Linked DNA regions of Mus musculus: region 2 is reported to be linked to region 1. Evidence: microRNA targets listed by miRTarBase, many of them from high-throughput screens and not tested one by one. Region 1 holds a microRNA gene; the other region holds the end of a gene's coding sequence. Distances are from middle to middle.

Region 1 (8,147 bases):
AAGGAAGGAAGGAAGGAAGGAAGGAAGGAAGGAAGGAAGGAAGGAAGGAAACCAGGAAGTAAAGCCCTCTAACTTGTGCAGATTAAGTTAATTTATGAGTAAGCAAGACCAAATATTTTTTGCTTTTAATATTTTATTAAATGTTTTGGAATTCGGTACAATGTATTTTGATCAAATTAACTCCCAATTCCTCCTGTAAGACCTTCTCCAAATTCATGGTCTCTTTTGGTAAACTATTTTAAGTTAATAACCCATTGGCTCCACTTTGAGCATCCATATACTTTTGGGAGGGGGACCATCCACAGGAACACTGTTGATCTTCTAGGAGCCGCATTCTTAAAGAACCCCCAGGCATCCCTTGAAAAGAATCTGTGATTATTTGCTTCTGTAGACTCCTTACCTGTCAGACTCTACACCCTCAGCCCTAGAACATGAACTCCACAGTACAGCTCTCAAGCCCTCGCGTGGCCTGCACTGTGACATTTGCTATGTTAATGTCTTGTCCTATTTATAAAAGAATATCTTCTCTCTCTAATGGTTTGTGAGGATTAAAGGAAAAGTTGTATCTCTGTTTCTGTATGATAAAGGTAATTCCATTTAGCCTTATTTTTGTAAGTTCATCAAATCTTTTTTTTTAAATTTATTTTTTATTAGGTATTTTCCTCATTTACATTTTCAATGCTATCCCAAAAGTCCCCCATACCCACCCCCCCAAACCCCTACTCACCCACTCCCCCTTTTTGGCCCTGGCATTTCCCTGTACTGGGGCATATAAAGTTTGCAAGTCCAATGGGCCTCTCTTTGCAGTGATGGCCGACTAGGCCATCTTTTGATACATATGCAGTTAGAGACAAGAGCTCCGGGGTACTGGTTAGTTCATAATGTTGTTCCACCTATAGGGTTGCAGTTCCCTTTAGCTCCTAAGTGTAACTTTTCCCTTTCTTTCTTTCTTTCTTTCTTTCTTTCTTTCTTTCTTTCTTTCTTTCTTTCTTTCTTTCTTTCTTTCCTTTCTTTCTTTCTTTCTTTCTTTCTTTCTTTCTTTCTTTCTTTCTTTCTTTCTTTTCTTTCTTTCTTTCTTTCTTTCTTTCTTTCTTTCTTTCTATTTTTCTATCTTTCTTTCTTCTTTCTTTCTCTCTCTCTCTCTCTCTCTCTCTCTCTCTCTCTCTCTCTCTCTCTCTCTCTCTCCCTTCCTTCCTTCCTTCCTTTCTTTCTTTCTTTCTTTCTTTCTTTCTTTCTTTCTTTCTTTCTTTCCTTCTTTCTTTTTCAACCAAAGTTTTTAGTGTTCAGGACAGCAAAGAGGCAGATATTGTGGCTTGAAACAAAACACAGCAATATAAAAAGAAGCACACTTTTTGTGTGTGTATATGTATGTACATGCACATGTGTATGTGTATTTATGGAGCTATGCCACATATATACAGGTTCTTATGGAGGTCAGAAAGGGACTCCAATTGCCCAGAATTTGACTTGTAGGCTGCTAGGAGCTACCTGATATGGGTTCCAGGCAAGTCCTGTTGAAAGAATAGCAGTGTTCTTAATCACTGAGCCATCTCCCCAGCCCCATGAGAAAACTTCTCAGAAAACATCTACCCAACAATAGAGATTTTAACTAAGTGAATTTGTCAATAACTGTACTTGAGAGAAAACAACACATGAAAATGAGATGATCTCTTTTTTGAACTACCCAAAGAAGAAGAAAGAGTTATGAAATATAACTAAACAGCCTAAGAATGCCTTTGAATTTTGAGAACATTTTGTTTTCCTGTATATATTCCTTATCATATCTTGGCATTACAACTTGGACAATGACTGCCTACTATTACTTATAATTACATCATAAGCATGATGTCATAAAAAGCTGTGATGCTAGGACTCTGGAAGCTGAGAACAGAGTAAGCCACCAGACCTATATGGTCCACACATGGAGATGCTGCCTCAAAAATCGCCGTCTTTAGAAGTACAACCTGGGATATGAATTTTGTACTTATCTTCCCATCAAGAATCAGTAAGACTTGTAATTCATAAATTTCTAAAAACTCACCATTACATAGTGAATTCATGTGATAATAGTTCGTGTAGCTCATAAAAAGTCAAACTCAAATGAGTAATTAAAATTTAATATTTTATTATGCTTTGAATTCAAGCCTATATACATGAACAGTACAATCTTAAGAATTTTTTTTTACAAATTGACTTTTATATCATTCACATCAAACACTCAGACTGTTTTAAAGAAACATAAATAATAATAAATAATGTACTAAAAATTTAAAGTGCAAATATGTGGAAAAATTTTGTCACCCCATCAGGTAAATGCACATTGAAATCATAATCATTTTATGCCTACCCCCTGTTAGAATGGACATTATCAAATACATGGTAGCAAGTGACAAGAGCTAAGAGGGTAATGGAAAGGAATAAAGACACAGGAAACCACTGTGAACGCTAGATGTAAATTAGTGCAACTATTTGGGAAAACCGGATGACATGTCTTCCAAAAAATGAAAATAGTATCCCTAAATTATATGTCCTCACATCCCTACATCCTCTGTGTGTGTGTGTGTGTGTGTGTGTGTGTACTGAGATATGTATATCAAAGAGGTATTTGTACTCTCTTCATTTCAACATTATTGATAATAGCCAAGCTTTGGTAACAAAGTGTCCTTCAATCAATGAATGAGTAGAGAAAATATTCTGACATTATGGATGTTTTCATAGGTATACACACACACACACACACATATATATATACACATATATGTATACACACACATATACCTATATATCTACATATCTCCATTACCTTAGCATATATACGAATACACACACACACACATACACACACAAATACACATATGAAATGAAATACTATCCAGGCTTAGAAAAGTTTATCAACAAATATATACCTGGATGAATTTATAATCAATGAAATAGAGGCCAGTGCCGCAGGATCCACTTAAATATGGAACTTAAAGGGAATGATTTTATGGAAGAAGAGTAGGAAGTTTGCTACCAGGGGTGGAATAATACTGGTGATTTGGTTTCACCAAGACCAGCTTCCATTAAAAAAAAATCTGCACAATTGGGAGAGAGCAATGTTTCAAGATGTCAAATTGTGGGCTGAAGAGAAGTAATGAGAGAACACACAAATAGAGACTCTTCTGCAGGTTACTAATTAAGTGACGTTTCCAAACTCATAGCTTTTTAAGATAGAAAAAAGAAGGGGGCTGTTCAGTGAATGAAGCAGGAATAGAAACTTTTTTTTGAACTTCTTGTTTTTTGTTGAGATTAGAGCCTTGTCATACGTTAAATGGAACGAAACAGACGGTGGGAGAAAGGAGTTATGATAGATAGAGATGCCCCAAGCAAGGCAGGCACTTGTGAACTAACTACGTAAAATACTGTGGGAATGAATATTCTGAACACTAGAGCAAGGTCCCAGGAATGGATTTCTGTAGTGGGAGTTGAATGTATATCATAATAAACTGATCAAGAGAGAGAAAGGACAATATGTTTGATAGATTTTTTCCCAACGAATTAAAATCTATTAGGTACCATGTACTAGGTACCATGTACACACTGTATGCTGAACATCCTGTTATAAATATTAACTCCAACCACTGTACTTACTATTGGAGGTGATGAACCTTAATGACAGATGTTCTTTTTGAAATTATAGAGCCAAACTAGTTAGGAAACACACACACACACACACACACACACACACACACACACACACACACACACTTGCTTGAAGACAGTCCCTGGAATCAAGTCTACCATTTCAGAAGAAAGTAGAGGGTAAATAAAGATGATGAACTATAATCTTAAATCTGAGGTCTCTCTGGGGAAACAAATCTATTGCATGATTATAATGAGCCCCTGGATAACAAAGTACTTGGCTATTGAGGTACTATCCCTCTGCCTACCAATTCCATAGAGAGTAGAGCCATTTCAGCGATTCTTTATGCAGAGCAAAAGAATTCCCTCTTGCTTCAAGCCCATTTTGACCAAGAAATCTAATGAAAGATGAGGGGATGGTTATTTTCTGTGTAACAATGTGACGGATAACGGGGCAGGAAGTAAGATATTTCTTTGGTTCTTCCTCCCACCAGCACAGCAGAGCAGGAAGCCGTGCCAACCCAGGGCTACACAGTTGATTCTGGGCATCCAACACTTTAGCATTTTTAAGAAATGCCCCATTTGTAACCCCCAGGAGTATAGAAAAGCAGTATTCTTATATAAATTAGTGACTTCCTCACAGAAATAGGACTTGATATGAATTGAATAAACAAACCTGAAAGTTCAGACAGCAGAAGTTAAACCGAGAAACGGCGTTAATACCCCCAGGACCTCTATTAGGGAGGGAACGTCTGTTGATTGCGACAGCAAAAAGCGGGGCCACAGTTGCATTCATTGTTCAGTGAGCTTTTCTACACAGTTCAACCCACCGACAGCAATGAATGTTGATTGTGACCTTTGTAAACATAGTCTCTGAAGAGGCGGGGAGAATCCTGTCGGGTCCTGCTTTGCGGTTCTGTCTTCAGCAAACGCAGAGGGCCATGGAGTAGATGATGGTTAGCTATAGGGTACAATCAACGGTCGATGGTTTTTATTTGAATTCCAAACTCACCGACAGCGTTGAATGTTCACTGAAGCAACCTGTGAGGCAGAGATGTGCTGATTTAAACAGTATCTGTGGGAGTCTGGAGCAGGAGGGAGGCAGAGGAAAGCCCAATCCTTTAACCAAACCTGTCACACATTTTAAACCATTTCAAAAGAGTACAGAAGAAAAGAAGCAGGATTCCTCCAGCCCAGAGCTTGGCAAACCTCCACTTTGTGCTGTGTCAAAGAAAAGAATCGGATTTTTTTTTTTCAAAAGGGAAGAAAAGTCCTTTTGGGGGGAGCTTAGTTACAGGCTGTTAAAGACAGGGAGAATTTATCATTCAACAAAATTGGAACTATCAAAAAGCAAAACAAATAGTATCTAAGTATCTCATAATTTAAATATTGGTATGTATATAATAAGAACTGCAAGGACGCATGTAGGTCATGCAGAATCAAGCAGAAACCACTTAGGTTTTCTCAAGTTACATTGCTAACAATTTTGAACTTCTATGTTTACAATGTGCATGGAATAAGCATTTATTTTACAATAGGCATTTTAATTAGTATAATTTCTTTTAAACATACTTATTTTTAAAACAATCAAGGAATCAAACCAATTTAGCACATCTTTCTTTGCTTATGACACAAGACTTTAAACTACAATGAAAATTAATACAACCTATGCCTACTGCCTGAAATTCAACTCCTCTCACTTTGGTTATTATATCCTAATATTGTTATTTGTTTTGATTGAGTGGATCTGGCAGTAACTTCTATCCATTTCCTAGGTGTTCTTGAAATGAAGTGCATTTACAAGTTAGTATGAACTCTATTGAGCATGTCTTCAAAACTGATTTCAAATATCAACTTAAACAAAAATCCCTTTGTACTCCTCAAAACTAGGGTAGAAAGTTACTACATTATACTTATGTAGACTCTTAAGTGGCTTTAATAAGTATATATATATATATATATATATATATATATATATATATATATATATGTGTGTGTGTGTGTGTGTGTGTGTGTGTGTGTGTGTGTGTGTGTGTGTAACTATTAATAAAATATTGGTGAACCATTCAGTCCAAATTTTTATACATATTCATTTTATTTACTTAGAATATTGTATGCTAAACCTGTAATCATTTATTATCTTGTACACGAAGAGATTACAGGACAAGTGTCTCTGGCTGGTATTTTGAGGTAGATAAGGTAACGATCTGCTGATGGCATGCATTCAGACTTCAGATAGTTACAAGACATAAAACTGATGAATCTGAATAGTCCTGTGTGGCTTCCTTTGAGATAGCTTTCCTGCAGAGGGCTGTCTCTTGTGGAAGGAAAGCAAGTCTTCCTGGGACCATCTGTGTTATCAGTTTCACCAGAATGCATGTTGCTCATGTTCCCTTGCTTGACCACTGCACTATCATATTCAGGCCAGCATCCCATTGCTTCTATACATACCTGTCATTGCTTTTGATATCATTTTTTCAAGGCTGCTGAGCTGAGACTCTAAGCCATGATCATTGCCTTATCTCAATATACAAAATTGGAACTACGATCAAGCAATTTCCATCCGAATCACAATTAATAGCAAAGCACCGCAATGTGAGGGGTTTCCAGAACCTTCTAAAATTCTCTGTAGAAAATATAAGTCCAAATTTCTCAAATTCTTAGAATAAAATTACGGAGAATACTATCATGAAGTTCTTAGGAGATTGAAAGTGATTGGTGTTTAGTAAGAAATTAGATTAAACATCACATCACTGACATATTTTAACTCCTATTTATCCAATGAAACATGTACTTTTCTCATGGCTATAGTTTTTGATGAGAAAAACCTCTCAATAACTTAAACTCACTCTCCATGAGGAAAAGCACCTCTGCTCTTGCTGCACCTGCCTCACAGTAAGAGAATAACTTCAGGACGGTATTCTACAGGGGAAAGATGTCTACTTGCTGATTTAGCTTACCTTTCCTCGGCTTTCTACAATGCTGGTTCCAATCACTATTTTACTAGCTAACCTTGTCTGCACTGTTATTTTCCAAATTTGATAATTGGCTGGAATATTAATGTTGGACAGTATTGAAATTTTACATTTTCTGTCAGGTGTCGAGTCTTATTTGACTATTTTTAGAAAATGTTAAGATTCCAGGATTCTAAATTGGTGTTAACCATCTGCTTCCTTGCAGTTTTTCCTGAATCAAGAGCCACCAGAAATATGTCATTTGTGTGCACGTAGGCAACCATTCTCCCTTCATAATTTTTGGAAGGTCTTCTGGACAGGTTAAAACTGACTTGCACCATTGCCAAATTTACTTTAGCTTTTATTTCTCCTCCCGGGGCTTTGGAAGCATTAAGAAGTTCAGCTTTGCTTAAGGTTAGCGGGTCATAAATAAACCAAAGCAATTTCTTTGCTTTGAGCAAGAGGGTCAGAGAATACATGAAATATCACTTTTAAGCAAAGCAAACTTTAACATGAATTGACAGAGGAGCATGAAAAAGAAGCACAGTGCGCCTCAGTAAAAGGCCACAGGGATTCGGGATGCTGGGCTTGTCTGTTTTAGAAATAGACTGTATATCTTGTTTGATGACCTGTATTTAATTTAAGTGACTGCCTCTGCCAGTCCTTTCCAGAGGGCAAGTGTGTGAAATAGAGCATCTCACTGTCACTCTGCAGCCCTCTCTTCTGCCGGATGCCTTGACCTGAATTGGGATGGGGGCATTGATCTGACAAATGAGAGGGAAGGAGATGGCGCTGCCACGCACATTTCATCCTTAAATTCTAGTCAGCTGGAAATTGTCTTCGTGGTCTGGGGTAGGAACACATTCATAAGCTCATTAAAAACTAGTTTTCTGCTGTGAATATGACTCTTTTCAAAATGCAAGAAGTAAGAAATGTCATACTCGCAGTAGGAAACATTACTGCCTCCTCCTTTCCAAAGCAAGCGCATGCCCTCTGTGAAATATGATGAAGAAGATTCCAGAATGACTGGAGTTGGTGTTCTCAAGACGCCACTTCTTAATGTCCATGTCTATTTCTGTTGGGGTATCATTTATCTGTTCAAGAAATCTCATGAAATGTCTCTGCTCTAGCAATTTTCTCTTCCCAGTCAGACAGATAAGAGCTCAAGTTACAAGTGCTCACTCTTTGGGATTATTATCATAATCACAGGGTCCTCTGCCCATCTCAGTAGGAAAGGTGAAAGCATCAGAGAGGCCAAAATGGAGGCAGTACGGTTAAAGAGCTCAGCGGAGACCATAGGCATTGGTCTCCACCGAAGGGAAATAGGACAGTCACGCCAAAGCTTGACTGAAAGACAGTCATCACTTTAGAGATGAGGGCCCATAGGAATGATACTCCTCTCTTTCAGCACTGTTGTAATCTACATTATTCGCCCTACAAAATGTCTTATCGTTTTGCTTTCTGAAAGTAAAATGTCCTAGTAGTCTATTTAATAAAAATGTCAGTGATTGAAACAAACAAACAAATAAACAAAACACTGGATTGATTTTTAATGTACATATCAGCTACATT
Region 2 (8,147 bases), 42 Mb from region 1:
AAATCAGTAAGCTGCAATAGGTTTGTAATGTGGAAGCAAAATAAACAACTAACTGTGTATACTGGTATTCAACAATTTTATTGAAGTTTGCTCTTGGAATTCCAGGTATTGAACATTTAACTGATTATTATTGGAAATATCTAAAAAGTGACAATATCAATCAGCCAATGAATGCCAATCAAACTCATATATTTGCATAATTTAATACTATTAAAGTATTAATAAAAATAAAATTATGAACTTCAAAGTTAAAGGAATGGGAATGGAAAGGATGACTCTGAAGAAGGTATCCCAGAACCAAAAGGATGCATGTTTACTTCTCATTGGTTGACGTCAGCTTTGAGTCTTCAGATATATTGTCTCATATGGAATACCCACAGGCATCAGGAAGTTAGTAAGGAGTCATGGAAACAAGAGGTTTTCAAGGGATGCAAGATAGAATTCACTGGTATAAATAAAACAAAGAAAAGGATGGAAGAGGGAGGGTTGAACTGGGATGAGGGAGGGAAGGCAAGTTAATAAGAGGAATGCAGAGAAAGGCAGCACTAATAGCCTTTCAAAAAAGTCATAGATTAACCTTCTAAAGTAGAGTCTCCAAAAATATTGGTGTAGGGATGGTGTTAGCTTAAATATTGCTTCCCTCTCTTGGGGTGTTATGCTCTCACTAAACATTACAATCTAGCCAATAAAAAACCAGTACACATAAAAAGCCTCAGTTATCTCTTCTGAGTTGTTGTCCAGTGAGGTCCTATGGACTCGAAACATCATAGATTGTAGACTTTTGGTCAAAACGTCATAACTTGACAGTAAGACCATAATTGTTAAAATTTCTAAATATTTGAGTCATGGAACATGGAGAAACAAAGCTTCTACTGATCTGAGAGCTTCCTATTAACTCTCTACTTCCTGATCTAGCAAACATAATGTACTTTTATTCACTTACCTCTCAAGTCTACTTTGTGCTGCTGAAGTATGCTTGGAGGTGTGGCCTTAACACTGGAGCATACTCAACTTACTGGGAACTAGACTAGAGAACACTGACACCCCATCACCTAGTAGCTATCAGGCAATAGTTGCTTGCCTAGGAGTGAGACTCTGTGGCTACATCTACTCTGAATACTGAACTTTGATCTTGCTTGAGCTTGCAAAGGTCTTAGGTTTGTTGTAACAACTACGGAGAGTTAATATGAGCCGCTGCCATGCAGTCTTACAGAAGAAGCTCCTTTCTTGTTGTCATACATTGCTTTGGGTTCTGAGAAGCCTTCTTCCCCACTTTATACAATGATCCCTGAGCCTTCTAATGAAGGATTGAAATACAGTTGCCCCATTTAGGGTTGAACAATCCACAACATCTTTTTCTGAGCACAGTGACCAGCTACGTGTCTCTGTGCTGATCACCATCTACTGCAAAACGTTCTCTAACCACATTTCAAAAGGGCATCACGGCTAGTGAGGAAGAGGAAGCTCTGAGAGAGTATAGTCCTAAGATACAGGAGAGAGTCCATCCTAGAGTCAATGAGTTCAAGTCCCCAGTTTCTTACTTCTGAATCATGTTTCCTTGAAGACATCTTATAATCTTTTTATTAGAATGTGTCAAATTTAAATGATGGCAGTACCTAGGTCTTATAGTTTTATTCAAAGTGAGTAAGTTAATATATATATATATATATATATGTATATATTATATGTATATTGTAGATTATATATTATATGCTATAAAATATGAAAAATACTATTATATATGTGTGTGTATATGTCTGTGTGTGTGTGGGGGGGTGTCTGTGTGTATTCAGAAAAGTATTTGAATCTAAAGGGTAGATGGTTTAACCGCTGTTAATACAAGAAAGGTGAAACACAAATTAGCTTAATGAATCTTGAGATACTATAAGCATTCATTCAGTTTGTTATTACTATAAATACAGTCCCTTGTATATTAGTTTATTTTCTGCTTAATTTTACTGTTCCTCAGAGTCTGTTGCATATTATAATGTTTAATTTTTCCTGTGTGCACACTAGAACTGTATGAGGACATGCCATTTAGTCCCTTGCACATTTAATTGTATACTGAAAATAATGATGTCAGGTTCTAGTCACAATTTAGACATTTAAATATATTTTAAGTTAAAACACGCATTAAGGTATGTGTATTTAACAGCAAAAGTAGATTTTTTTTATCATGCAGTTTTATAGAATTGATTGAAATTCACCAATGCTTGCACATAGTTCTGTGAGCTGTTGCGCACCATCAGAGCTGGGATTCAGCATGTGAACTGACTATCCCAACAGATAGAGACAGAATGAACATTATTTATGGATACTGAAAAGTAAATGTAGGTATGAAAGCTTAAAGAAAAAATAAAAAGGACATATAGACTTATCAACCATTCCTAATAGTCCTGTGATAGTGTCTAGTAGCATTTGACTCATAATTGTACAATGTTGAAAGGTACCTCATAAAATTACTTTTAAAGTGTGTTCCCGAATAGAGAGGTTATGACTGAAAACATAGATTTGTAAGTTATTGAAAGGTCTGGAAAACGATTTAAGTAAATAGTCCTTCTAAGTCATCTTCTGGGAGGCAAACAGCAAATGGCAGCAATTTGCAGATGAAGTCACATATTAACAGGCAGCCCTAGGAAATGCTGTATAAAAAGTCAGCAATGCTCTAGTCCCAGAGGGCAAATGACTCAGCTATAATACCTAGTGGAAGTATGAATTAGAAACAATTGCAGTAACCTATGTAGTGAAGGCCCCAGACTCCAAAGCACACAGAAAATATTCCACCCCCAAACTTTTGAGTGCTGCCTGATATTCATGCTGGTATTGAAATTACTTATACATCCATGAGTGCATTTGAAATAAATGTTTAAACTAATTGTGAGTGAGGCTGAAATTGGAAAAGACTTAAGCAGTAATGAAACCTTCATAAATGCAGCCACCCCATATTGACATATGCCATGAAGTCGAAGGCGTAGATATAGAAGATAAGAGAAAAAAATTGAAAAACAAGTAATTTAATTTATTTTACAATTGTACAAATGATAAAGCAGTAATAGTCCATTGCTATGCACAAACAACAGAAGATATTGTTGATCAGAATGAACCTACAGAGTAAGCTTCATCCTTCCTTTCCACAGATGGTATAAGAAAGGCTCAGTAGCAATTATCCTATGCAGCAAAGCTATCTGGAAACTTTTTTCTCTTCTTGCTATATACATCAAAAACACTTGTGCTTTCACCGACACACACACACAAAAAAACCCCAGTATTTCTTAAAAGGCGCTACATAAAAGAGAAACACACAACCTAGACCAACAATCAAAAAACCGCAATTTAAATAAATACATTGCCAGCTTGAAGATATTTTTTCCTTGACTTTTGTTTTGAAAGATTTGAACATACTAGCTGCTTACTATTACTCTAGGAAAGAACATATAATTCAGCTACAAAGTAGGTCTTTCTTAAAGCAGAGTAGTAAATGAAGTTTCAAAAGAACTTCTGTTTTTAAAGTGGCCATGATCTCCAGGGCAGTTCACAGTGCAGACCCTGAAGATATCAATATAACACACATCTAGTTGTGCACATATTACAGAATCAGTGTGTACACACAGATATACATATATAACATGGTATATATGCATCACACATTTCTATTTGTACTATATAGATATATTTATAGCACATATATAATAAAATATCTATTTCTAGATGGGTTGTATTTGGAGTTTGTTTATCAAATACAAATAATTAACCTTACTTGTTTTTATTAAAACCTTGGTATATTGATAACATTTAATGGGGAAACTCTCAAACTTGTAGAGATACCAGCTAACTATACACAACTTTTCCATCCCCCTTCCACAACTATAGATAGTCCTCATAATAATCACATGAAAACAACTCTGTGAACCAAATATCACATAATATGTATTATGACTAACTGGCACAACTATAAATAAATTACTTTGCTTACCCTTTCTTGAATAGTAACTGAGTAAATCACTTGTCTGTACACTACCCTTAGCATTTCTTGAATAAAGCATTTCTGTAAGGATATATGTGGAGATTTTCATTAACAATTGATATACAGCTCATATGAAATACAACACATGAAGACATTTGAATGCCCAGCACCTTCTCTAAGTGAGGAAAGCTTCCACAGTACTTTCATTGGTCCTGTGGGCTGAATCACTAGATTTGCTCTGAAAATCTATTATTGATTCATGTTTTCTTTCAACAACTTTTTATTAAGTATAGTTTATGCTGAGTAGCAATGATGAAAATATTTCCATGGTCTGTTCATGTCAAAAGCACAGTAGCAATCATGTTAGCTCAGTGACTGGGATATTTCACAGTCAGCTACCTGGGTATTCCCAAGTGCATGATTAAAACATTAGAAAAAGGAAATAAAACAAATAAAGCTGTTAGCATACCATATTAAGGAAATCACAGATAGTTCAAGTATATGCTTATAATTTGATTTTGTTATGATTCCTTATGCCATCATGTGTGTTAAGTCCTAACTCTTTTCTCTACTGTTAGTCTTCAATTCTCTCCTTGCCTTCCTCCTGTAAGAAAGCCGTGATAGGGATTGAGCAGTGATGGCAAATGAAAGGGTGTGTGTGTGAGGATGAAATAATCTCACACAATATTTCCTCTTTGAGTGCTAAATGTCTTTAATTGAATCCATTCTTATGTACTGAAAGTTCCCTGAGATGAACAAAAGTAGTTATCTCTCAAATCTGAAGCCCTTTTGATACTGAACATTTCTCTAACTGGGCAAGCATTTAGGAAACACAAAGCAGAGGGTGAAGAATCAATGCAAAGACATTAAAAGGCACTACTCAATGCATGTAAGAGATAGACATCAATGCATGCAAAAGTGAATGGCTAAGCTGTGCTTGCTGTGGCCAAAATGTTGTTTAAACACATCTTTTTTTCCCTTCTTAAAATTTCAGTCAAGATGGTATGCTGCTGCTTTCAGATACATACTTTGAATGAGTGCCAAGATAGAATTTACTTGCCAGAATTTACTTGCAACCTCTGGATTTCTAAGGAATTCATGTTAGCTGTTGGTGGGAACACAGATCTGCATAGAGTTCAAAATAAGTTTTATATATTATCCAATGATCACACATCCAGTGTATTAGACTTTCAATTTAACATCTACATAACACATATTTAACACTTTTTATTAAATGTATTGAATTGCGAAATAAAAATGAAATTTAATGATAAAGGTATATACTGGTTATGAAATGCCCATATCCATTCTCTTTTCCTTTCTGATAGATACATGGATTCTCAGAAACTGTTATTTTTATCCTGAGATTCTATCACTGTTTTAAAAAACACTGCAGCTAATATTAAAAATTTGGTAACTGTACTACATGACTATCCTTGTCCAGAATATGAATACATATATAATATATATGTATACCTTTGCTGTGCTCTTCATTCATTTTAGATTGCCTGACTTAGAAAAACAAAACATACACATTTTTCATGCCATTTCTGCTTTCTTCTGATTGCCTTCCCCAAGAAACAGGAAGTCATGTTAAATTGCTGCAGGCAAAAGCAGAAGTAAGAATATAGTTCTGCTTTCAAAAGAAACAGAAAGCCTGGCCACCAGTCAATTCAGTCACGTATGTAAGTCAGTAAGTCACTCTATGAGTAAGTTCATGTTGTTTTAAAAAATGCAGTCATAATGGAACTGTACTTAACTACAGAAAAATCCTTGTTAACTGAATTCATTTGACGTATTGTTGATGTGTTATTGTTAAACTGCTTTGAATTAATTACCTGTTATGAAAACAACACTCAGTTAATCATCTTATTTTGTGGAGAGAAATTTTAAAATAATAGTAAGTGCTTCATATTGATCTCTGCACCTGAATAGCCAAGAAGATTTTACTGAATGAGAAGTCTCATTTCAGCTACTTCAATCCAACAATCTACCTGGCCATGGATTTCCACAAAATTATGATGAAATGTCAAAGAAGTAAATTAAAAGTAATGTTTGAACTTGAAATTTTTAACTGTGTAGAGCTGAGTTTCCTATTAACTTCATATAAATGTGTTCATGTTAATAATATATTCTCTTTATAACAGGAGAGTGGCTTACTGTGTAGGAACATGATATAATCTTTGGTACCAAGAGTGAAACTTTTCTGCTATTTTTACCATTTTTCAAATATCACTCCTTCATAATAGTCTACTAATATCGAGTGGTATAGTTTGGCTGGTACCCACTACACCATTGATCTATAATCCAGAGATTTAGAGTTGTGCAAAGTAAAACAAACAAACAAACGAACAAGCATAAGTTTGGTGTGACTGTTGTTTAAAAATATATAAGGACTTTAGAAAGGACTGTTTGATGTTCGTTTTTCTCATTCACATGTGTTTCCCATTTCTGTATCTCAAATGAATTTCTAAGCACCCAAACCCAAACCAAAATAAATGTCAGAAGACAAACAAGAAATATAAGCAAAACGTAAACATGACCATTCTCAGTGTCCTGACTGAAAGCGTTTCCTCAAGTTGCTTCATGTCATGGATTTCACTGCTTGAACTCTCTCCTTCTTCATTTCTACTAAGGATGTTTTCAAGTCCCAAGGGCTGAGCTGTGCTCCTGGGTTCCTCTTCCAGTGTGCTTGGCATTACAGTGGCTGCCCCACAGTGATGAACATGTTTGCTTTGCTAACTGATGTTGAGTGCACTGTTGAATCTTGTAAACACTACTGATAATACATTCAAACTGTATTCTTCATGGAAGTGGCACTTACTAGGACCCTTGAAGTCAGAATATGTTGTAGTCAGAGCACTTTGCAGGTTTTTCATCAGCTGGTGGTGAATTCACACAGACTTCCATTTCAGCTACTCAGTCAAGTGGTGGATGCTGAATCCCAGCCTTATTTTGGATCCTGATTCTAAATCTCCAGAAGCATCTTAAAAAAACAAAGTCTGTGTTCAGTTTTTATCCTCCAAAGTGTGCCTTATTGCTTCATGCACTTTCCTGTGGTCAGTTTTAGAGCTCCTCTATTGTGTAGCACATTCAATGTTTTAAATTCTAATGGCATCCTGTGAGGACTGGCGTTGGAAAAGTATCTATATTTTAAGTCATCATAGTAATGATATTTGACAGCTTTTCCATTCAGATCCTTGGGAAATGGCCAGAATCCATAAAGGTGAATTTCATCACAGAATCTGGTGGCAAGTGTATACATGAGGAGACCTGTGCTAGGTCTTTTGATAGGAACTTTGTTAGTCAGCCAGTATCTAGAAGAAACAAAAACAAAAGTAAAACAGAGAAAATTCATAGTAATATACAAGAGCACATTCTATAAAAGTCATATCATGTAGCAAACACAATGTATAAATATGAATAAACTTTTCAGTGGTTACTGAAAAGTAGCATATATGTAGATAGAAAATTTTATACTTCTGCATTATCTTTTATCTCCTTATATATTTGTCATTCCATAAAAACAGCTAAGGGACATGAAAGCATAGGTTAATTCTATTCTAGAATATGCAATTCCAAATTAATCAGAAATAAACTTGTATCTAACATTCTGAGTAGAATATTTACATAATGATGTAAATGTCATTGAAAATCACAACATCAATGACTCCAGATTTGATCGTCAGATGTCACATGACAGCCTTGGCATGGTATGCAGAGGGAGGTGGATTCTTGAGTCTCATTGATCATTTTTTCTATGGTAGCAGCATCCAGCATTGACCTCCACCCTCAAGCTTACACAAAACCATTCTCAAAGACCCAAAAAGAGCCAAATGAATGCTTAACTCAAATTATGTCAACTGACCTTTTCAACTCCAATCATAAAACCATATTTTAATAGAGAAAATTTAAAGCATTATATCAACAAAACAAAAACACTAAGACAAATAAAATCTATTTTTATAATAAATTAATAGAGTTCACTATATATTATTTGATATTTTAAAATTCTTTATTGGTAAAATGTTCCCTGGTAATTTAATACATGTATGCTGCTTTCTGTTTTCTCTTACCCCACCCTCTTTTCTTCATCCCTCCTATGCCATCTTAGTCCTCCATTCAGGTCCTTTGCCCACATTCCTGTCCTTTTGTTTATTTTGTGACCCATTATTTATTAACC

What was found. Region 1 holds the annotated microRNA mmu-miR-181a-5p (AACAUUCAACGCUGUCGGUGAGU, at 4,628-4,650, opposite strand). A microRNA usually pairs through its seed, bases 2 to 8, with sites in the 3' UTR of a target mRNA and lowers its output. Matches are read on the target gene's strand: a 7mer-m8 pairs with bases 2 to 8, a 7mer-A1 pairs with bases 2 to 7 and ends in A, and an 8mer does both.
Region 2: the mRNA of St8sia4 is a reported target of mmu-miR-181a-5p. Seed matches in the 3' UTR shown: 8mer at 6,751-6,758.

The regions. Positions count from the first base shown.
Region 1 is chr1:137,962,971-137,971,117 of GRCm38, reverse strand. Mir181a-1 (microRNA 181a-1) reads right to left here and starts at 4,663; the gene lies at 4,577-4,663. It overlaps Mir181b-1 (microRNA 181b-1), which reads right to left and starts at 4,479; the gene lies at 4,400-4,479. It overlaps Gm4258 (a long non-coding RNA gene), which reads right to left. Exons shown (of 3, transcript XR_003948014.1): 3 at 8,098-8,147.
Region 2 is chr1:95,584,684-95,592,830 of GRCm38, forward strand. It overlaps St8sia4 (ST8 alpha-N-acetyl-neuraminide alpha-2,8-sialyltransferase 4), which reads right to left. Exons shown (of 5, transcript NM_009183.2): 5 at 2,999-7,281. The coding sequence ends at 6,999. Among named protein-coding and RNA genes, the nearest start is that of St8sia4, 79 kb to the right of the region's middle.